Linked DNA regions of Drosophila melanogaster. The protein of the gene in region 2 interacts with the protein of the main gene of each other region in a pairwise test. Each region holds a gene or a part of one and is shown on either strand. Other genes may lie near its edges.

The links.
Region 1: the proteins of Sec16 (region 2) and lost interact in a two-hybrid assay, tested with the Drosophila melanogaster proteins (one large-scale study listed by BioGRID).
Region 3: the proteins of Sec16 (region 2) and CG14711 interact in a two-hybrid assay, tested with the Drosophila melanogaster proteins (one large-scale study listed by BioGRID).
Region 4: the proteins of Sec16 (region 2) and Septin1 interact in a two-hybrid assay, tested with the Drosophila melanogaster proteins (one large-scale study listed by BioGRID).

What each region holds. Positions count from the first base shown.
Region 1 is NT_033777.3:4,400,761-4,407,741, reverse strand, and holds lost (lost), read right to left. Parts: upstream 4,667-6,981; 5' UTR 4,541-4,666; coding exon 4,462-4,540; intron 3,274-4,461; coding exon 3,103-3,273; intron 3,042-3,102; coding exon 2,323-3,041; intron 2,263-2,322; coding exon 2,194-2,262; intron 2,142-2,193; coding exon 1,931-2,141; intron 1,876-1,930; coding exon 1,487-1,875; 3' UTR 560-1,486; downstream 1-559. Other genes in the region: CG32944 (uncharacterized protein), read left to right, coding at 1-305; CG14647 (uncharacterized protein), read right to left, coding at 5,827-6,141, 6,257-6,388, 6,604-6,981.
Region 2 is NC_004354.4:12,594,122-12,599,144, reverse strand, and holds the start of Sec16 (secretory 16), read right to left. Parts: upstream 3,099-5,023; 5' UTR 2,911-3,098; intron 2,470-2,910; exon of another isoform or gene 2,408-2,469; intron 2,245-2,407; exon of another isoform or gene 2,176-2,244; intron 1,800-2,175; 5' UTR 1,793-1,799; coding exon 1-1,792. Other genes in the region: CG1824 (uncharacterized protein), read left to right, coding at 3,599-3,648, 3,814-4,177, 4,253-5,023.
Region 3 is NT_033777.3:11,621,583-11,625,786, reverse strand, and holds CG14711 (uncharacterized protein), read right to left. Parts: upstream 2,449-4,204; 5' UTR 2,377-2,448; coding exon 2,242-2,376; exon of another isoform or gene 2,187-2,241; coding exon 2,061-2,186; exon of another isoform or gene 2,002-2,060; coding exon 1,493-2,001; exon of another isoform or gene 1,485-1,492; intron 1,433-1,484; exon of another isoform or gene 1,431-1,432; coding exon 1,296-1,430; exon of another isoform or gene 1,238-1,295; coding exon 1,127-1,237; exon of another isoform or gene 1,070-1,126; coding exon 952-1,069; 3' UTR 839-951; downstream 1-838. Other genes in the region: CG6813 (uncharacterized protein), read left to right, coding at 1-89, 162-276; Zaf1 (ZAD and architectural function 1), read left to right, coding at 2,750-2,872, 2,931-3,580, 3,638-3,772, 3,843-4,062; CG14710 (uncharacterized protein), read right to left, coding at 4,149-4,204.
Region 4 is NC_004354.4:21,355,925-21,362,193, forward strand, and holds Septin1 (septin 1), read left to right. Parts: upstream 1-2,361; 5' UTR 2,362-2,451; coding exon 2,452-2,469; intron 2,470-3,587; coding exon 3,588-3,780; intron 3,781-3,846; coding exon 3,847-4,105; intron 4,106-4,231; coding exon 4,232-4,597; intron 4,598-4,664; coding exon 4,665-4,914; 3' UTR 4,915-5,764; downstream 5,765-6,269. Other genes in the region: sol (small optic lobes), read left to right, coding at 1-144, 217-723, 783-1,049, 1,121-1,263, 1,333-1,510. UniProt on the Drosophila melanogaster protein: Involved in cytokinesis. May be involved in p53-dependent apoptosis.

The DNA.
Region 1 (6,981 bases), on a different chromosome or scaffold from region 2:
TCAAAGAGTTCATCGTTTACAACCGCTACAAGGAGTTGAAGCGCAAAGCCATGGAACAAAAGGAAAACGACTGGCAGCGCGAACTGGAACTGGCCATGGCCAACTCCATCGTGAACAGCTTGGCCCCCATCCAAGAGAAACCCGCCGCCTGCGTTGTGCACGACGGCGACTGTGCGACCGCATCATCCGCAGTCGCCCAGTTAAAGGGCGAGAGTATTGAGTTCATTGATCGCACTCCTTCACCGCAGATTAAAGAATCGGCTGGCAGCAGACTTGACATGCCGCAGAGTCCGTTTCAAAAATAAAACCTAGGACGCGGTTGATAAGCAACAGGTTTCAAACTGCACAAGAACCAGACCCACTTGCGCAACGATGACTTGTCAGCCATCCATCCATAAAGACCAGAACCTATTTTTCGAACTCCTGTAAACTTCATTTTGTGTACATGCGCATATTATATACAGAACTATGACATTTTATAACTTTTAAATAAAATAGGTCTAAGCTACCTTTGTACATATTAGATTTAAGTCTAAAAGCAAAATAAACGGGTAATTTTCGGTCAAGTTTATTTTTACGATTTTTTTAATTTTTATTTCAAGTTATATTTCATTCATGTTTCATATTTTTTTTTTGTAATGCCTTTTGTGTATAAAAAAAGGGTAAATAATTATGTTCTGCCTTGTATAATTATGTTCTGCATTGTATAATTCTTGCTTTCACACATTTCTTGTTCTTCTGTTAAAAATATTATTAAATTTATTGATGTTTGCGGTGAAAGTTGGAAAAGACTAACCAAATGCAACATGTAAATATTTTGTTAATTCATTTTTTCTTACTCGCGGTATTTCTCATTTATAGGGCATTCCTATTAGTATTACATTTTAGAACATTACTTCAACTTCAACGCACTCAACTTCAAGCCCTATTACTAGCAGCTCAACTGCTTAACAGAGATACAGCAAAACGATCTTATTGCTGAGGTGTGAAATCAAATTAACAAATATTCAGAAGTTCTAATTCAGAATTGTAACAAGTCACAAGAAGTTAGTAAAAGGATTATTTAGAAGAAATGGTGTTCCACTTTGCATTTGTGGAACGAGTATTTCTGCAATCGTTTTAATTTTCTTAGGCAAAAAACAAATGCAATTGTTTAGAAAAAGCGTCAATGATTTGTGTTCTCGTTAGAAAGAGTTGCGTTTGATTTTCTTGTTGGTTAGAATAATGACGGAGAAGAAGAAACTACAAGCTGCAAAACATGATATTCAGTGTATGCACAAGTGTAATTGCCAGCGTGTATTTAGTGAGTGTGTATTTTGAGTGTACTTTGTGTTTGTTCGGAGTTCGCTTTCTATTTGTTTTTTGTTTGGTATTTCCCGATTTTTTCTAAACAAAATGTTACTTTTTTTCGTTGAACTCCAAACATTGCGCTGTCGGCGGAAGTCCGCCGCGACCGTTCATTGGCTGCGCCAAGCGCAAAGTCATACTATACTGTGGTGGTGTCGACAGCTTCGATGCGTGCACCACCCACGTCGCCTCCTGCCACAGTTACGGCCTCCCCTCCGTTTTGCGCGTCTGCTTTTCCATCCTCGCCTGCACCGGCATTGGCACCAGTGGAGCTAGCACTTTTCTTCTCGCCAAATTGGATCAGTTCTACGTTGACGAGAATAGTCTTGGTCTGCACAGGCGTTGCAGTCTCAGCTGACTCTGCTTTCTCACCGCCCTCCCCTGCGGCGGCAGCTGGGGCTGTCTCGCCACCAGTGGTAATGGTGAGCGAGAGATCGTTGAGAGACTTCAACACCTTGTCCATGTCGTCCTGGGTACTGGGAACCCCCTTGCGGTTTCCAAAGTGCAGGAAACACTTTCCGAAGTGTCCTAAAGAGAAGGTATAGTTAGCGTAGAGCTTTTAAACCAAATATAAGTGACATACCCTTCCAAGAAATTGACATCGGAGTGCATTCGCGTTTGCGGAGCTCCGACTTTAAGTCCTTGACGCGAATATCACGAGACAGATTTGTCAACTTAATGCAAAAATCACTGTTCTTGTTCTTCTTTGAACGACGCTCATCAGTGCCAGCCTCTGGTAACTTACGATCATCAGTTTTAGCACCTGCTTCCACACCAGACTGATCGCCCTCAGACTAAAATTACGTTGATTAGGCTGGCTTCGGCTGTCATATTTAAGCTACTTACCTTAGTTGTACGTCTGCGGCGATTGACGAAACGACCTTTGCGCCGCGGAGTGCGTTTCTGAGCAGTCTCCTAAAAATGCAGAGTTAAAAGTTACTCAATAGTGCCGACAGTGTGGTGGATTCGACTTACGCCCTGCGGCTGTTCGTTGTCAGTCTGCGAAGTGGTGCGACCTGGGTTTCCTCGTTGGATGCGCCGGCGCACAGGCCCACGGCGGCGTCTGTTGTTTTGATGTTGCTCCACATCGGTGTCTTCCTCCTTGAGGGATATGGATTTTCCCGCCTTCTCCTCCCTTTCCTTAAGCTGCTGCAGCACGGGCAATATTTTTAGACGGCGCTCGGACAGCAGCTCCCAGTAAACGCCATTGGGGAAAGACAAGCGCTTTGGCACCCTGATTATTTCTGTGGGTGTTGCAATGATATCAACTGGCGTATCGTACTTCTGGAATAGATTCGGGGGCAGTGAGTCCACCACCTGCATGTCGTGCACGATTGTGACAATAATTGTCTTCGGTGTAATGGCTCCCAGTTCAATAAGGAGGCCGATGTCCAGATCAGCGAAACCATTTCCGCGTCCAATGCGGTAACCCTCGCGTGACACTACAACAGAGCCAATAACCACGATGTCCAGCTTCAGACCGCTGTCCAATCCAATTTCCGAGCGAAACTTTTGAATATCTTGAACGCGCAGAGCCTCCTTTTTCTGCTCCTCGGTGGCATCGGCCAGCACATCTACCTTTAGGCACAGTGCAGAAGATTCGCGGGTGCTGGGCAAGTATACGGACTTGTCGGCCAGCAATGCCAGTTCCTTAAACTCATGCAAGACGCGATCGATGTTCACCTTGATGTGCTCTGCAATACGGGAAAGAGTGATAATTGGTGCACTGAAAACGGGGCTGTGGTACTCCCTTACGTGCTTTCTTGAACTCCTCTTCATTGGCAAACAAGGCAGCAGCCTTATCGGCACCCACGAACGAAGGAATTCGGTTAAATATGTTGTTGAATCCAATGCCAACCTTGCCCTCTTGGATCTTTTTCCAGGTCTGCACGCGCAGCGAGCGCTTTGTGGGCTCTATGGGCTGAGCTGTAACGACATGTTTGTTACAATAATATGCTCCAATAACATAAACAGATGACTAAAAGAAACATATTTTAGTTTATTGCAGCGGTGAGCTCATTTGTATTTGTGTTAGTGATAGCTAGCCTTCATTAAATCAAGCCACATTCCATTCCAGAGCTGATCTGTAGGTATGATAACGTGCGGACCCAAGCGATTCCCCAACTTCTCGGACATGTTAGTTTTTGTTAGGGGAGGTTGACTGTAAAAGTGCGAATCAAATGTGCTGAATAGCAACACAGCCGCTGCCCTTATCGTCTGTAATGAACGCGTGTTATCACGCTAGTTGGCGCTGGACTAAAAGTGATACCGCGGCTGATATACCGGTTTCCACGCCCAGTAATCAGATGTGAAAGTGACCCAAACATACACCAGCAAACGCCGGCCCGTATCATTGAAAACAAAAATCTGCATGCAAAATCGGGACGGCAGGGTTGCCACCTGTGCTGGTTAAAGAACACACGTCAACATGCATGTGTGTGCGCTTGTTGAATTGAAACTGAAGTATGAATTGGCCGCTAAAACTATTTCGGCCGTCTTTCTTGGCGGGTTCAATGAGAAATACAAATTAAGAACCCATATCCCGATATTAACGCATGACCAATAAGTTGGCAACGCTTCGACACGCACACACTCGCACGCACACATTTCTGGGCGATGAGCGCATCGACTCGCGAATTTCTCAATTAATATGTATTCGTATGAGCAGTGCCGCGAGCGTGTAGTGGTGTCGGGCAGCGCGGGGCGCAAGCGAGCGGGTGAATTGACACTGCGAGCACAGAATCTCGAAATCGAAATCGGCCAAGAGCACCGAAAATGATTCATTTCACTTTTTGTAATTGTGGGAAGAATGCGCGCAAAGATGACGTAATTAGTGTCAACAACAAGCAACTTCGGCGTTTCGGCAACTCTTATTTACAGCTAGGGTCTCCTAGAAATAAATATGGCGGAATTCGACAATCTTCCGCTTCTACACTGGCACCTAGAAAATGGCTGAATCGGGCACCTGCCCCTCTGGAACATGGGTATTCACTTTGGATGCCCAGCGAGCAAGGCGCGGCGCGGCGCAAAACATTTATGGAATCACCAGCACTCGCGAGAATTACACGCAATTTTCGTCGGCGAGCGGGCGGGGTAGTAGGGCAGGCCACTTACTTGTCGAAGACACCTCCTGCGCGGTGTTTCCGCCGTTCTCCGCGGCGACAGCGGGGGCTGCGTTGCTTTGGTCCTCCATCGAATCGCTCGCCAATTGTGTTTTAGTTCTGCTCACAATTTTTTACCGGCTCAGGCTACGGCTACACAGTTCACAGTTCACAAGCAACGTCTACCGTTCTCCGCTGGCTTCCAACAAACCACGTTTGAAAATTGACGTTTCTCTGGTGACGTAAAAAAACATCGCCGATGCGATACATCGATACATTTCGTATAGAGTTGCTTGCGATGGTTCTAGCTAAAAATATAATAAAAGTTATACATCTGAGCTTATACACGCCACCGACAATATACATTAGATCTACATGCAAGTCCATCATCTTTTTTCGCTTCAATTGTTATATATTATTTTAATAAACATCGAGTACCACCCAGATAGTTCGGTAAAATTGTAAGCTGTGATCACTGCGAATAAGGTATTAAAAACTAAAAATAGATAAATTTTATATTATTTTCTTTATTTATGTTTCTTGTAGATAAAGGAATCGAAGGATAAACTATAATTAACACAGGCTCCTGCCCCGGCTTAGGATTTTCTAAATGTAACTCTTCTGCAAGGTCCCTAAGGAATGTTTTATATAAAAATATAAAAGAATCTTTAGTGATGCGACTAAGACTATGTAATAAACAAAAAAAACAAGATGGAATGCTATAGTCGAAATCCCCGACTATCAGATACCCGTTACTCAGCTAGTGTGAATGCGAACGCGAAATTTCATTAAAAAAAACAAGAGGGAACGCTATAGTCAAGTTCCCCGACTATCAGATACCCGTTACTCAGCCAGTGGGAATGCGTTTTTAGGGCGTTAGAATGGGTGTGGTAAAAAGTTTCTTGGCAAATCGATAGAAAATTTCAAGACTAATTAAATTATGAAACAATATCAACACATTTTTTAAAAGTGTGGGCGTCACAGTTTTGTGCGGTTTGTGGGCATTAGAATGGGCATGGCAGCATGGGTCAACAAACGTGAGCCGCGTCTCTAAAATCTGTATGCTTAATCCCAACCTCTAGATTTTATAGTTCCTGAGATCACGACGTTTATACGGACAGACGGATAGACTCGGCTATTGATCCGGATTATATATAATATATATCCCTTATATAGTCGGAAACGCTGCTATCTGCCTGTTACATACTTTTCTAGTACGAATCTAGTATACTTTTTTACTCTACGAGTAAGGAATAAGAATAATACACACGACTTTAGAAATTCAATCCTAATACTGTTTATTTTATAACCTACTATTAAACTTTTAAGTATGTACAGTCAATAACAGTAATATTAGTGATAGGTGCCAACCAAGATATCATCGTATGGCCTGTGACATGTGCAATGGGGTCACCATTAGGGTAAGCTCCGCGTCCTTTAAATTTGCCCCACGCAAATTTGCCTCCTGCAAGTCGCTGCCAGAAAGATTGCATTTTTCCAAGTCGGCACCTGCTAACACCGCAGCTCGCAAATTACAGTTCTTCATATTGGCGTTCTTCAAATTTGCCACACGTAAGTTAACACCGGCCATGTTGCTGCTTTCCAAACATGCTCCTTTGAGGTTAACACCCTCTAGATTAGTTCGAACTCCTGTTGGGTCTTCAAAATTACACCCACGCAAGTTTGCACCTTCCTGAAAGATTAGGCAGATTAGTTTTCTTAGCTAATTGGATGGCGTAAATCTGTTACAACTAGTTTCACAAATGATGTGATTATTTAATAGCGTTTTCTGTTAAACCTGTGCTTACCATATTGGCGCAAAGTCCCCGCACTGACACTAGTTGGGCACATTCCAAGTTTGCGTACTGAAGATCCGCCCGTTCAAGACAGCAGTAGTTAAGATTGGTGTGGGACAAATTGCAGTGAGACATGTTGGCATACTGTGAAGGAAAAGGGATAGTCTTTAGTATAATTATTGTCTTCAACTTGATAGATCTCCACCAATAATTTTCCATTTTTTTCCGGACGAAAATATCTCCTTTACTGCGTAGCAAACTACAATAATATTAAAATGCAGTCGTGTTACGGCGTTGGAAAGACTTAAAATGTTGTATTACACAATGTATGCATTGAAATGAAATTCGTTTGCGCACACCTTGAAGTTAATGTTGCGAAAATCTAGCTTTCGTAGATCGGCCCCAGACAGATTAACGCCTTGAAAGCGCAGCTCCGTTATCACGGAGGTCTGAATGATGGCCTTGATGACGTCGTTGCGCGTCAATGGTCTGTCCCCCAGCGGCGTCTCCTGCTGTCCCAGGCGTTCCTCCAAATGGGTGACAAGCGAAAAGATTCCGAAGAACCGCGCCTCCTCCAAAACACCCAACACACTGATGTTCGAATCGCATACGAATTGTCCGTGGCGGAGGTAGTTGATGATCGGCTCGAAATATCGAGGACTTCGATCAATCAGGTATGCTCCCTGCTCGTCACGCTCGCTGGGCTTCATGCTGCCATTTTGCAGGAACATCCTAGC
Region 2 (5,023 bases):
TATTACGCACTTGCTGCTCGCCGTCAGAGGTGTCCTCGCCATCTGCGCGACGTTCTTGCATATGCAGAGCAGCTGCCTGGGCCACATTAAGTGGTGGCTGCTCTGTGGCTCCAGTGACCTGGCGTTGCTGCTGCGAATCCAACTCCGGTTGGCCCAAAACCAGACGAGACAGTCCTGGTGGTGGCAGCAGGCCCGCATCCTGATCCGCTTCACCTTCGCCCAGCTGCTCGGACAGGTGGCTGGTCTGCAAGTACTGGGCCCGTTCGTCATTTGGCGCGGACAAAACCTCCTGATTGTCCGGTTCCAAATGCGCAAAAGCCTGTGGAACAGCCGGTGATGCATAGAGCGATGCGTTAGGTACAGGAATGGGTGCAGGAATAGGTGCACTTAGTGGAGTTCCAAGTGAAGCCTCAACAGGTGGCGCCGCAATTAAGTTGAAACCCTCTCCATGAGCTTCTGCTGGCATACCAAAGAGCTGATCTGCTGGTGGCGGAATTGGTGCTACTGGTGCCACAGGAGCAATTGCAGCAGCAGGAGCTGGAGGCGATGGAGCTCCTGCTGCAGGATCTGCCATTATGTTCACTCGCTTATTTAGGCCCGTGGAACGCTTGAAGGGATTGGAACCAGACGATGGAACTATGCTAGGTGGCAGTGCGGCCGGTGGTGCAATAGTTGTAGCGTCCGCTGGCGGTGCTCCTACTGGTGGTGCTCCCACTGGTGGTGCTCCTACTCCAATGATGGGTGCTGGAGAAGCTCCTACTAAAGCGGAAGGTGCTGGCGAAGCTCCTACTCCTGCAAGATGTGCTGGTGGAGCTCCTATACCGGCGAGATGTGCTGGCGGAGCTACTACTCCAGTGGGAGGTGCTGGTGAAGCTCCTACTCCTGCGCTATGTGCTGAAGATGCTCCAACAGCATAGATTGGCGATCCCACAGCAGTCATTTGTGCAGAGAAGGAAGTCAGTGATGTTGGTGGTGGTGCTGCAGTTGGTGGTTGGTTTTGGAAAGCCTGGGGAGGCACAATGGCATCCAGTTCGGGTTCCTGCCCCAGTTCCGGCGGCGATTGTGGCTGCTGGTGCAGCAAAGGTATCGATTGCTGATTCAATGGCTGTTGTTGCAAGGACGTTGACTGCGGATTGGCTGGTGGCGGCAACTCTCCATTGTTATTGACATTATTGCTAGTGGCAAACGCCTGCCAACTGCCTTGCGAGGATTGAACATTGAAGGAATCCTCCAGCAGTTGTCCGGTTGGCTCTAACAAGCCATCGGTGCCGTTGCTATTATTGTTGTTGCTATTGTCGTTCCAATCGCCCCAATCACCCCAGCCATCGCTCCGGCCGCCACCACCACCTCCTCCGCTATTATTGTTGTCAAACGAGTCCAGAGCTGGTTCCGCTGGAGCCGGGACTTGTGGCTGCTGCTGAGTGGGATAATACAGTTGCTGCTGGATTGTATGTTGCTGCTGCGTAGGCTGTTGCTGCTGTGGTGGCAGTTGCTGCTGCGGTGGCAGTTGCTGCTGCTGCATAGGATGTTGCTGCTGCTGTCCCGGAAAGTAGTTATTGTAGTTCAGGGATTGTGGCTGCTGCTGCTGTTGATGCTGATCCTCTGGCCAATAATTTGGCTGATGTTGCTGGAACATTTGGCTGGCATAGACTTGCTGCTGCTGCTGCTGGGCAGGAAGAGTTTGCTGCTGTTGGGGCATTGCATGTTGCTGCTGTGGAGTAGGATGTTGCTGCGGCGCCTGTTGCTGCTGCTGCTGATGCGGTGGCAGCCAGGGCGCATTATTGTGCAACATTTTGGATCTGAACAAAGAAAAACAAAAGGATGTCAACTTTTTAACTCAAAAATGAATGCCTACTTATTTCTACAGAAATCACGTTAATATCCTGGTAAATCGTCAATTTAAATATCTTTTTAAGGTGTTTTCAGGTCCCTAGAGATATCTTTACCCGCAATTTGAACAGGCTTATTTTCCAAAAGAGATATTCAACCGAAAAAAGGGTTTAAAGGTATGGTATGGTAACGAAAAAACTTAATATTAAAGTGTTCGTTTCTTCGCCCAAGATATTTAAAAGGTTTCTAGGTGTTATAAGGAGTTTTCCGGGGAGATTGCAGGGGGTGGTTGCTGGATTTTGTGGGGCAGTTCAATGAACCAAACCAGTTTTGATGGAAAATTACCCGTTTTCTTGGATTTTCCTTAATGACACTTGGAAACCGTGAAGAGTGATGGAAAATACGCAATCGAATACTGAACAAAATAGAATTTAGGGTATATTATAGAGCTCACAATGAGCGGAAAAGCAAAAGTTAAAAGTTTACGTGGACGTTTGCCATATTTTGCCCCTTCTCCCTCCCACACTCTTCTGGTCTTCTTCTTCGTTTTGTTACCACCGTTTCATTGCTCTCTTACTTTTGTTGTTGTTCTCTTGACGCAGCAGGTTTTTTGTTTTACCTATTTTTTAAGCCGCTGATAATTTGTGCAGTTGATTTTTCGAATCTGACCTTAAATATACTTTTTTCATTTCTTTTTTTTTTATTTTTAAATGTTTTTTTTACCACTTCGCAAGTCAAAAGTGAAAACACTCTCTTGAAAAAAAAAATTGGAGCAGCGGTGAGGGAGAGAAAGAGACAGCACTCTTTTTTCTTTCTCTTGGCGAAAAAGAACCATACGCAGGGTTGCAATCCGGTGTTTTTTTGCGAATTTTGAGCACACAATCGCTTTTACTAGCCACAATAAACTAAAGAAAACACTTTTCAGGTGGCTTTGTCAATTATCTTTTATAAAAATAAAACACAGCCTAATATTACGAGAGAGAGAGAGTAAACACACATTCGCAGGCAGGTAGGTTGCACAAACACACATACAGCTCTCCTTTTTCTCTTCTAATTAGCTTACGCTGCACACTGACTTACACAAATCGCTTGTTTATTTACACGCACTCGGTACGGCACTTTTTTCGGCTGTACTTAACTAAAAATATTATACAAGTTACTGGTTTGCTGACGTTCTTGGGAGTTAAACAATTAAATATGAAATTTTTTCAATCCGAACGCAGCAATGAAATCAAATGCCAACTCGACTTTCGTGGTGTTGCCAGACTGCCAGCAGATAGAGATGACACTAAACAGTTGGATTGGTGTGACAGGACAGTGGTCACTTAAAAAATCATATATTCCTACATTTTAAATATTTTGTATTAATATAAATGTATAAATCTTTTCAATCGATAAATCAATTAAACAAATTAAATCAATTCCACATTTCTTGCTCGTATCCTATAAAACTTATAATTTTTTGCTGCATTGGAAACTAGACTTCGATACTCATTTAAAGTAATAAATGGACAAATGCAAGTTTTTAAAATAAGTCTATTTTTTCTGTTGGTTTTTATTATTGATCTTCAGACTTTTCATGTAGAATCATTATTAAAAGGGGATTCAAAATATTGAACAGGAAAATATCAGCAATGCCCCTTTAACGACTCGCCGAACAATCGATAGCTTACAGTTGCCCATCGCTAGCCATGCCTGTGCGTCTATCGCCAGGTGATGCGTTAACGCTTGCGTATTTTGTTGATATTTGCAAGCCACGCGAGAAGAGATGCTGCGCCTACTCGTGTCCAATTGCGGCAGGAGCAGCGACATATTTAGGTAGAGTAGGGGTCACCATCGCGGGCGAGGTTCTGGGCCGCCGACGCACGAGGATCTGCTACGGCCAGCAGTGAATTGGGGAAACAACGACTCCCCCTCGCCCTCACTCCGGTTATGTCATCAATCAGCCAACCTATTATTAACCGCCTATTTCGCTTTGTTTAGTCGCCACCTGCTGCAGCCCACGCAGCAGCCACTGCCACGCCTCCAGAATGCCGCCCGCCTGATGCGCCAACATTTGCGTGGAACGAACGCTCCCCAACCGCCCGCGATACCGCCCACAAATGCCAGCCGCCTGCTGCAGACGACACGCCTGCTTGTGTGGGGCGGTGGTAGTTTAGCTATCGGTCTGGGCGCCCGTTCCTGGTGGGCGGGGCATCGCGGAGCGATCGTTCATTGCGAAGGCAGCCGGCTGGCCATTCGAAAGGAGGAGGAGGAGGAGGACACTGCGTCGGAGCAGCACTTCGACTGGAAGCGTTTGTGGACCTACTTGGAGCCACATCTCTGGGAGCTGATCGGGGCCGTATGCGTGAGTTCTTGGATCACAAAAAGCCCACGAACAGGTGTAGCATTTGTCAAAATATTTAGCTAATTTCATTTGCAGGCCGCCCTGATAGTGGCTTATATCAACATACGCATCCCAAATCTTCTCGGTGACCTGGTAAACACACTGGCCAGATATGCCAACACGTACGTGATGGATCCGATTAACAACTCGTTCGTAAAGGACGTGAGCAAACCGGCCAGCAATCTGCTGAGCCTATACATGCTGCAATCTGGTTTCACCTTTATGTACATCTACCTGTTGAGCCGCGTCGGTGAGCAGATGGCAGCCAAGATGCGGCAGGATCTGTTCACGCAGATTGTCGTCCAGGACATCGCATTCTTCGATGAGAATCGAACGGGCGAGCTGGTCAATCGACTAACCGCCGATGTACAGGACTTCAAGACCTCGTTCAAGCAGTTCGTCTCCCAGGGACTGCGAAGTGCTGCCCAGCTGATTGGCGGCAGTATATCGCTCTTCATGATTTCACCGCACATGGCCGCCATTGCGCTGGCCAGCGTTCCGTGCGTGGTTATGTTCATGACGTATTTGGGCAAGAAACTGCGCTCTCTAAGCAAAAGCTCACAGGCGCAGGCGGAACGAGCGACGGGTGTCTGCGAGGAGGCGCTGTCCAACATCCGAACGGTTAGATCCAGTGCCTGTGAATACCGCGAGATGCAGCTGTTCGAGGCGGAGACCAATGAGGCGGCTCGCCTGGCGCAGAAACTCGGCTACGGCATCGCAATCTTCCAGGGCCTGACCAACTTCTTCCTCAATACACTAGTCCTATCTACGCTCTTTATGGGCGGCCACCTCATGTCTACGGAGAGT
Region 3 (4,204 bases), on a different chromosome or scaffold from region 2:
TACGAGTGCGACACGTGCAAAAAGAGTTTTGTAAGCTCCGGATGTCTCAGGAAGCACAAGATGATCCATGTGGATGCGCGGAATCACTAGTGGGCATTTCGATTTCTGCCAACTCTGCACATTATTTGTATTACACGTTTCAACACACTTTGATTTTACAGCTGCTACGTATGTCAGAAGCACTTCAAACGAATCTCCCATTTGATGACCCACCTGTCCAGCAATATTCATAAACGCAAAGAAGAGAAACTCACGGAGCTAGCCATTGAACAATGAAGCTGCCTATCTAGCCATTACACTAATTAGCTATCGGTAAGAATTCTAAAATTCCGCGTCCTTTTCTTTAACAAGGTAGACGTACATTTAAGTACAGGTATTCGCATAAATCCATTTTATGCGAATATCTAGCATATTTGGTTTTACTTTTTGTTTCCCTAAGGAATAGAAGAAGAGCCGCATCCCTCCCGACTTCCAAACGTTTTTAGATTTTGATGTAAAACGTTACAAGTTATAAACCTAAAAAAACAAAACATATTTACTTGTCCAAAAAAAGAAGATTTAATTAATCCTGTGCCATTCGATTATTATTCCATGTTGTAGCTTCCACAAACGGTAACAAAGTCTTCGACAGAGCACAAAGAAAAGAAACAATAAAAAACGCACACTCATTTAATGGCCAAAATGATGTTAAAACTACCAAATAAACGCACAAAATCAAAGATTGTAATCGTGTTCCAATTTTTTTCTCGAATATATGGACGTAATAAAAAACATTACAAAAAATATTTGTGTTTTTGAACAAGTTCTTTAACCAAATAGTAATAAATCAAATCCGATTATTTTACACATCCGGTCTGACCATTTGTACTCTTTTTTATTTTACAATTTTTATATATAATTAAATGTACATTAATGAATTATCTAACAGAAATTGTATTGCATTGTTTTCGACTAATAGCGCCCCGTCCGTTCGTTTTTGTGGTGTATTACAGTCTGTTGGTGGGTCATGGTGCCCAAATGCTGATCCAACTGGTGCTTGCGGGAAAAGGTCTTATTGCAGACTCGACAGCTGAAAAATTAAAGGGAATTTAGGGTTATACATGATTAAAGCAGTCAATGGACCTACAGAAAAGGCTTCTCGCCCGTGTGGGTGAGCATATGGTTTTTTAGCACGTTAGAGTAGGAGAATGCCTTGCCGCATGTGGAGCAAGTGAAAGGTCGCTCGTTTGTGTGTGTTCTGCAAAAGGAACAAGTATAGTTTATATGAAGATTACTATGAGGAATTGCATCTTCACCTTTCATGACGAATATTGGAGCTGCGATCCGCAAACGAGCGGTTGCAATATTTACACAAGAATGGTTTCTCGCCCGTGTGAACGCGGATATGGCGATTTAGCTCGGATGGACCCGCGAAGGATTTGCTGCATATTCTGTAAGCGGAATAAGATTTACATAATATAAAATGGTTCAGATGATAATTTCAGATACTCACTCGCATTTAAATGGTTTCTCGGCCATATGACGACGCATATGAATGTTGAGAGCGGCTCGCTTGGAGTAGATATTGCCGCAGATTTCGCACATAATGTTCGTGGAGGATACTTCGGGAGATGATTTGAAGCTAGCTTGAACAGGCGGACGCTCCTCGCTAAAACTGCGTGGGTGTCCGGAGCTAGCACCGCGAGGTCGGCCACGTCCACGTTTAGTCATCCGCGTTTTACGCACCTTAGCTTTGCGGCAGCGCTCGATGGGCTGGTAGTCGCTATCGGTGCTATTCGGCACCAGCAAGTCATCCTCGTCCAGGTCGTCCACTACAGTGCTAGTCTCGTAGGCCTGCGACGTTTCCCCGACACCATCCTCCAGGGGCTCCTCCATGATGTTCTCCATTCCGATGTCATCCTCGACACCGTCGATGAAGTCGTTGGCCGATTCGTAGATGTACTCAATGTTGTCAGCCACTACGTGCGGCACCTCGTCCGTTGGCTCCGACTTCATCTCGGCCTGACATGGTACCGGGTCAAGTGGGATGTTTATATGTGGCCCATCAACTCTATACGTACCTTGACTACATTGGTGGCAAATGTGCGCTCGCTCTCCTGGCAAAGCTCCCGGAACTTGTGGGCACTGGTCAGTCGCTCCACGCAGCTGTAGCACAACATACTGGGGATGTTCTGCAGCGGCACCAGCTGAAAGCACAGAGTGGGTTAAGTCGCAGGATTTTACATTTGCATCCACATGTACCTTTATGCTGCCCACTTCTTCAATCTTGCGCACCAGCTCCCGGCACTGGGCGTCGTTGTCATCGAACAGGGGCGCCATCGCCTCCGAGTTGATGTCCTCTGTCAAGCAGATTCGGCACAACATGTACTCGGGCATTATCTTGCACGTCCTGGACGTACGTATGCTTGCAATTCTGAAATAAACAAGCGTCTTGGAACTTTTCCCAGGGTTGTCATGTACGCAAAACGATAAATGGCTATCGAACTTGCTATCGGCATATCGATTGAATAATTGATAATAATTAAATCTTAATTTTTTTTTTTAAACTAACAGGTGGGCCCTATTAAATATTTAAGCTTGAGTCACGCAATAAAAATACAGTTTTAGAACTAAATGCAAAAAAATTTGGAATGATAGTTGAAAACTGTTACTAATTCCGCGTACCTGACAACCCTTTTACTTTTAATTCACTGCTCTGGCATTTGAATCGGCATTTGACGCGAAAGAGGGACTTCCTGCGGAAATAACGATGGAAATCAGCATTAAATGGAGCATGTGCCGCACTTGCCGCAAAAAAGGAACGCAATCCACGCTGCAGTCGCTCTTCGAGTCCAATGCCCACAAGCTGTTGATCTCGTATGCCGGCACATCTGTGAGTACTCGATTTCTGTTTGGCTTCCAGTTTACCAGTTACAAATCCTCTCTCCTAGGTGAAACCGGATGATGGACTGCCGGATCAAATTTGCACAGTCTGCTTGATGCAACTGGAGGAGGTGGACAGATTTCTTAGCGCGTGCAAACAATCCGACGCGCACCTGAGAAGCCTCGTTCGTCAAACTCTGTCCTCCGCATCGGCATTTGAGACGCTGGAGGATAAGGACCAGCTTGAACAGAAAAAACGCGCCAGGAAGCAGAACATTTCGGGGAGACTCATCGAAGAGAATCCTATTAACTTTAAGACTCAAGAGAATGCATTGGAAACGACCAAAGATGATGAAATCTTACCCATAAATAAATTTTCAAGCGATTTCGTGTTCGATCTCAACGTGAATGCGGAAAACGAGAAAGACATACACCAGGAGGACTATACCATCAGTGATATGGATTTGGACAGGGAGATCTCCGATCAAAATTACTCCGAAACGTATTCGCAAGAAAGCAGCGCTGCTACGGACAGTATTCAAGAGACAAGCGAGGATTACCATAATCTAGAGCCAAGTGCCGACTACGTGATAGATCTAGGAGTGGCCTGCGAGCCGGACAAGTACAGATGCAAGATCTGCAGCAATACATACCGCTGCTTATCTCAGCTAAATGCACACTCGCAGGTGCACCGCAAGGAAAAGGACCACCAGTGCGAGTAAGTATCCGTGATATATCTTAACATAATATTTCATATATAAAATGTATGATTCAGGGTTTGCCAAAAGACATTCAGAGCCGCCTGCAACCTGAAAACACACATGCGGACGCACACGGGCGAGAAACCTTACCAATGTTGCTACTGTTCGCGCCGTTTTGCCGACAACAGCACTCATCGCAAGCACGAACGGTAGAATGGACAAAAACTATATATATTGTGTACAGCATTTAAGTTCCAATGTTGAATTTCTTCATTTCAGTTTGCACACGAATGAAAGACCCTATGCTTGCAACATATGTGGAAAAACATTCTCTCTGTCCTCCTCTCGTAACGCTCACTACTACCTGCATTCGTCTGAAAAGTCTCACAAGTGTCTTATGTGTAAAAAAGAATTTCGGCTTAAGCACCAACTTACAGCGCACGAGAAGTCTCTTGCGCACCGTCTGATAGCTAAGGAGTACAGCGACGTGGTAGAATAGTTAATAAAAATAGCTGGTCTATTCTGGAAAAGTGGCTTTATACTACTTATAATAGATAACCCTAGTTCCTCAATTAATTTACTATATTAGCTCTCTAACATTTCCGGAGAGCTGGGAATGGTTTGCTCCATTTTGTTGCGGT
Region 4 (6,269 bases), 8.8 Mb from region 2:
TGCGAGAGCATTCCACTACAGGCCAGTAGCTTGCCCATGCCCAGCGAGGACGAACTGGACAAGGACCTGATATGGGCCCAGCTGCTGAGCTCTCGATGCGTACGATTCCTCATGGGCGCCAGCTGTGGCGGTGGCAACATGAAGGTGGGTTCTGCGTTATTACAAAGTCTTCTTCTATTTCATATGCTTATGCTCAATTATCAACATCAACCAAAGGTGGACGAGGAGGAGTACCAGCAGAAGGGGCTGCGCCCGCGACACGCCTACTCGGTGCTGGACGTGAAGGACATCCAGGGACATCGCCTGCTCAAGCTACGCAATCCGTGGGGTCACTATTCGTGGCGTGGCGATTGGTCGGATGACTCCTCGCTGTGGACGGACGATCTTCGGGATGCTCTGATGCCGCACGGCGCCAGCGAGGGCGTCTTCTGGATCTCGTTCGAGGATGTGCTTAACTACTTCGACTGCATCGATATCTGCAAGGTGCGCTCCGGCTGGAACGAGGTGCGTCTGCAGGGGACATTGCAGCCCCTGTGCTCCATCTCCTGTGTGCTGCTCACCGTGCTGGAGCCGACGGAGGCGGAGTTTACCCTATTCCAGGAGGGGCAGCGCAACTCGGAGAAGTCGCAGCGATCGCAGCTGGACCTGTGCGTTGTGATATTCCGCACCCGGTCTCCGGCGGCGCCGGAAATCGGTCGATTAGTGGAGCACAGCAAGCGTCAGGTGGGTGCTTCCCATAGCCCTGCAAATAGAAACGCTTCTAACAATTGCGTTCCATTTAGGTGCGAGGCTTTGTGGGATGCCACAAGATGCTGGAGCGGGACATTTACCTGCTTGTGTGTCTGGCCTTCAACCATTGGCACACGGGCATCGAGGATCCCCACCAGTATCCTCAATGCATCCTAGCGATACACAGCTCCAAGCGTCTGCTGGTGGAGCAGATAAGTCCCTCGCCGCATCTCCTGGCCGACGCTATCATTAGCCTGACCCTAACCAAGGGACAGCGGCACGAGGGGCGCGAGGGGATGACCGCCTACTATCTGACCAAGGCAAGTGATCCGGTTGCGAAGGGATCTAGGGATTCGGTGGCCTTACTAACTCGACCGCATTTCCTTTACAGGGCTGGGCGGGTCTGGTTGTGATGGTGGAAAATAGACATGAGAATAAGTGGATCCATGTGAAATGTGATTGCCAGGAGAGCTACAATGTGGTGTCGACACGCGGCGAACTCAAGACAGTGGACTCTGTGCCCCCGCTGCAGAGGTGGGCTCCCAATCGACCACCTAAAATATTCCCCCAACTAATTGCTTAACGTGTGCTTAACGCTTTCAGACAAGTAATCATCGTTCTCACCCAACTAGAGGGCAGTGGCGGCTTCAGCATCGCCCACCGGCTGACCCATCGTCTGGCGAATTCCCGCGGCCTGCACGACTGGGGGCCACCCGGCGCCACCCACTGCCCGCCCATCGAGAATGTCCATGGACTGCACGCTCCGCGGCTAATCACCTAGAATGGGATAGGGATAGGGATGGATGGCAGTGACGCAATTTCGATGCTACCCCGCGATATGTCGCTGTTCGAATCCTGATTTGCATGCGTCTCCTCTCAATTCTACCCGTCTTCTAGTCGATGTTCTGTTAACGAATCACACATTACAGCGAAAAACCCAAAGTTGAAACCAATCAGCATGCGAAACAATTCATATATATGTGTATAGAGCCGTGCAGATATGATATATGTATGTGTTTATGCACTAAGGCGTATCGGAAAGTGGGAGCAGATCCCCGGTGGGGATACGGCAGAGCCCAGAAGCCCCAGTCCGGAGTCCTAAGGCTAAGGCTCGGCACGATTCGCTTGAGATCCAATGATCTGTGTTTTGATTAGAGCGGCTATGATTGTGGATTATATAGATATGTATTGTGAATTTAAGTGCATCCAATATTAATATGTGTATTGTTTTAAAAATAAAGACTACAAGTTATAAAAGCCACCAATGTGTAAACAATTTCAAATGTGTACGCGCGAATTGGAAAACGATTCAATCAAAATATACCTTACGATACACAATAGATGGCGCCAGGAGATATTCGACATGGTATCTACATAAGATGTTATCTACTGTCAAAAACGCTACGAACTAAATCGTAAATATAGTCCGGGCTTAAATTTCCGATTAATAAAGTGAAATCATAAAAATATAGTCATGATATAATATAAACCATATAAAACCATAATAATTAAATAACTTATTAAATATGGTTACGTTCAACCAGATTTTCAAAAGAAATACCAGCTTGATCTTGTTCAGACGGTCGTCATTTTTGTTTTGCCGCCGAACTGGTCCCACTGGCAGCAGGATTTGCCAGTTGCGCGCTGCGGTCACACTAGTTGCCCTGCTATTTTGTTCGTCATTACGTTGATTTCTTCGTTCGTTTCGTGTTTTTTTTTAAAATGGCCGATACAAAGGGCGTGAGTAGCCGCTGTTCACTTGTCCAAATGCTAATGGCCAACGGCCAGTCCCCCAACGAACTCGATCCGCCGCCAACTGGGCGTGGCGTGCCATCCACTCCTGGTTGCCAGTGCATCAAATGCCGAATGCGGCGCTCCTGTTGATTTGTTTGCCGCTCATCTCGCCGCGCCAGTTCATCGGACACTCCTCCTGCACCGCCCTTTGTCCACTCGGTGGGAGCGGGCATTGCTGAGCGGGAGTGGAGAAGGAAGTGGAAGTAGAAGTCAAGTGATTCACAACATGCCGGTGGCGTCGGCGTTGTTCCTTTGTTCCCGGGACCTCTGCCGCCCTCGCGAAGCAACTTCGGCCGCCCGTGACCCACATGGCAGTGCATTCTGGTGCACGGAGAAATGAGTGCCGTGCCCATAGTTTGGGCGCCCAAGAGAAAACTGATCCGCGCGTGATGGGCATGCAAATCAAGCCAAGCCATCGCTTTCTAAGACCCAAAACCCTAACTACCAGACATTAGCTCAACCCAACTGAGTTGGGTTACGAGTTAATAAGGCATATGGAATACTTTCAATCACTTGTCCATTTTGGGTCATATCCTTGAACCCATTTCTTAACTCAACTCAACTTTCTCTTCATGAGATGCAAGTTTTTACTATTCCCAAAAGTGTTTTACCGAGAAACATAGTTCCAATTAATTGGTAGATAAATTGATCGACCGCAGATATATGTACAATATTACTATGATTTATCGTCAGTCTGCATTGCATGGTTTTATAGCTTAATCAGCATAGGCTGACCCACTTAATTATTCGCATATGTATTCATATGTATAGAACACAATGCACGGCACATTTAGTTAATATGCAATTCGTTAAGATTATAATTTCCATATGCAAAAAAGTCCACATTTGTTTCGCCTTTAAACGTTCCAGAAATAGTGCTGATATTGAACTGAGTAATTCTTGGTTTTGCAAGCAATGTTTGATTGTTTACCTGTTCTGAAATTAAAGGCATTACCTATCTAGTAGATTCTCAGAAAGTTTCTAATATTAATTATTTTTATTTATATATGAAGCCTAGGACTTTTGGTTCTCTATACTAATGTTATTCACCTATTCTCGTGCAGTTTTCCAGCATCGAGACGCCCGGCTATGTGGGCTTCGCCAACCTGCCCAACCAGGTGCATCGAAAGTCCGTGAAAAAGGGATTCGAGTTCACCCTAATGGTGGTGGGCGAGTCCGGACTGGGCAAGTCCACGCTGGTCAATAGTCTCTTTCTCACCGATCTCTATCCCGAGCGCATTATTCCGGACGCCATAGGTGGGCATAGTCTTTCGTCATCACTCGCTTTGATTACTCATCCAGGAAACCATTCCCCTCTTGCAGAGAAACAAAAGCAAACCGTAAAGCTGGAGGCATCGACGGTGGAGATCGAGGAGCGCGGCGTCAAGCTAAGATTGACGGTGGTGGACACACCCGGATTCGGCGATGCCATCGACAACTCCAACAGCTTTGGTGCCATACTCGAGTACATCGATGAGCAATACGAGCGCTTCCTGCGCGACGAGAGCGGCCTGAACAGACGCAACATTGTGGACAATCGCATTCACTGCTGTTTCTACTTTATATCGCCGTTCGGTCATGGGTGCGTTCCTTTTCCGTTTAACTTTTGAACATTTAATATTAAAAATAAGGAGTTCAAAGCTCAGTAGTGTTGCAAATTGTATAATAGAAAGTATAAACGAAGTATCACATCAATTTTTGTACCCAGCCTAAAACCCCTGGACGTAGAGTTCATGAAGAAGCTGCACTCTAAAGTTAACATTGTGCCCGTGATCGCAAAGGCCGATTGTCTCACAAAGAAGGAGATCCTGCGCCTGAAGTGCCGCATTATGCAGGAGATCGAGAGCCACGGCATCAAGATCTACCCACTGCCAGACTGTGATTCCGATGAGGACGAGGACTACAAGGAGCAGGTGAAGCAACTTAAGGAAGCTGTGCCTTTCGCCGTCTGCGGCGCCAACACACTGCTCGAGGTCAAGGGCAAGAAGGTGCGCGGTCGTCTGTATCCATGGGGCGTGGTCGAGGTAGAGAATCCCGATCACTGCGACTTCATCAAGCTGCGCACGATGCTCATGTAAGTGAAGCAAATATTCCAATATCTGATTGCTTATTAACTAACCACCTATCCCGCTGCCCCACAGCACCCACATGCAGGACCTGCAGGAGGTCACGCAGGAGGTGCACTACGAAAACTACCGCTCCGACCGCCTCGCCAAGGGCATCAAGGGCAAGGAGAACGGCGTGAAGGCCGAGCGGGACAGCAGCTCGCAGGTGGTGTCGAACAGCGTGCTCGGCGAGAAGGACCGCATCCTGCAAGAGAAGGAGGCCGAGCTGCGGCGCATGCAGGAGATGCTCGCCCAGATGCAGGCGCGCATGCAGGCCCAGCAGTGAGCAGGCGGGTATATCTTTTATATACGCGCTTGGCGGAGGCGGCAATCTCTAGTTATACACAAGTCGTATATATACACATATACAAAACATATATTTTGTACGCAGATTTTGGTTGCGATCGCGCTTTAATTCTACTCTCAATTGTGAAACGACGGGCGCTAAGTATTCTGTATTAATTTCGCATTCTCCATATATATATATCCGTAGTATCTAGATATACACACCACATACATTTATACACACATCTAACTTACACCTGCCGCGTATGCAAATGCCTGCAATGCAATTGCTTCATCAGAAAAACAAAGAACATAAGGAACACCAACCATCAGCGAACTCATATCACTTCTATCAAGCGAAACCACACACGAAAACAATTGTATTCCTATTATGTATTTAGACGCGATTAACAATGAATTATTATTGTAATACGCATCTAGGCTAAGCGAATCCAATCCGATTTATATTGTATGTTAATTCATTTTTGTCTGTTTACCTTACCCTTATCTGTGTTGTCTCAAAGCGAGCAATTTATTTAGGTTATACTATATGTTGCGTGTCAGCCTGCCCTTCCGATCCTTCTTGACCTCCATGGTCCGCTGTCCTGCAGTGCCGCCCGATTCCTAAGCACGATCTGATTGAATAAACAGTGATCCCTTCCTAGGCGGTCCCGGGAACCCATGGCCAGTTGCGGAAACTCGGTTTAGCAGGCTACTCGCTTAAAAGTGCACTCCTTTAACGGATGAAACAAAAACCAAAATGTGAAATCTCTTTTATTATGTATATGAAGACTTTTTTAACTCAATATAATCCTCTATGAATATATAAATATGCTTTTTATACAATTTGTAAGCCAGACCGTCTTATGCATTTTCTTGTAGTCTCCCATTTACTCAAAGTGTAAGGGGGCATACTATTTGTATTCTTGAGGAGATCACTAGCCGACTCCATCCAGTTACATATGTATGTACATATATGTACGTCTGTCCGTATGAGCGTCAATATCTCGGAAACTTTAACAAGCCGAATGTTCCAACTGCCAAGCCCATTTGTTTGTTTGATAAGTTTACTTTTGTTGTATTTCAATAACAATAGTTAGGCATTCATATCCTTTAGATACATTTGCAGTTGTGTTCGCCTGATGCCTGGCAAAATCTTAACCTTTTAGACACTTTTCACAACTGCTTGTCTTGCTTTTTTAGAGCGAAACCAAAATGCTCATTCAACGTATGCATTCGAAAACACAAGCAAGCACAAGAGTAACATTGCGAGATTTCACTATCAGCTTTTCCAATCACATTGGCATTATTGTTAGTAGAACAAAAGTTTTACTTGTACATATTTGTCAAGCGTTC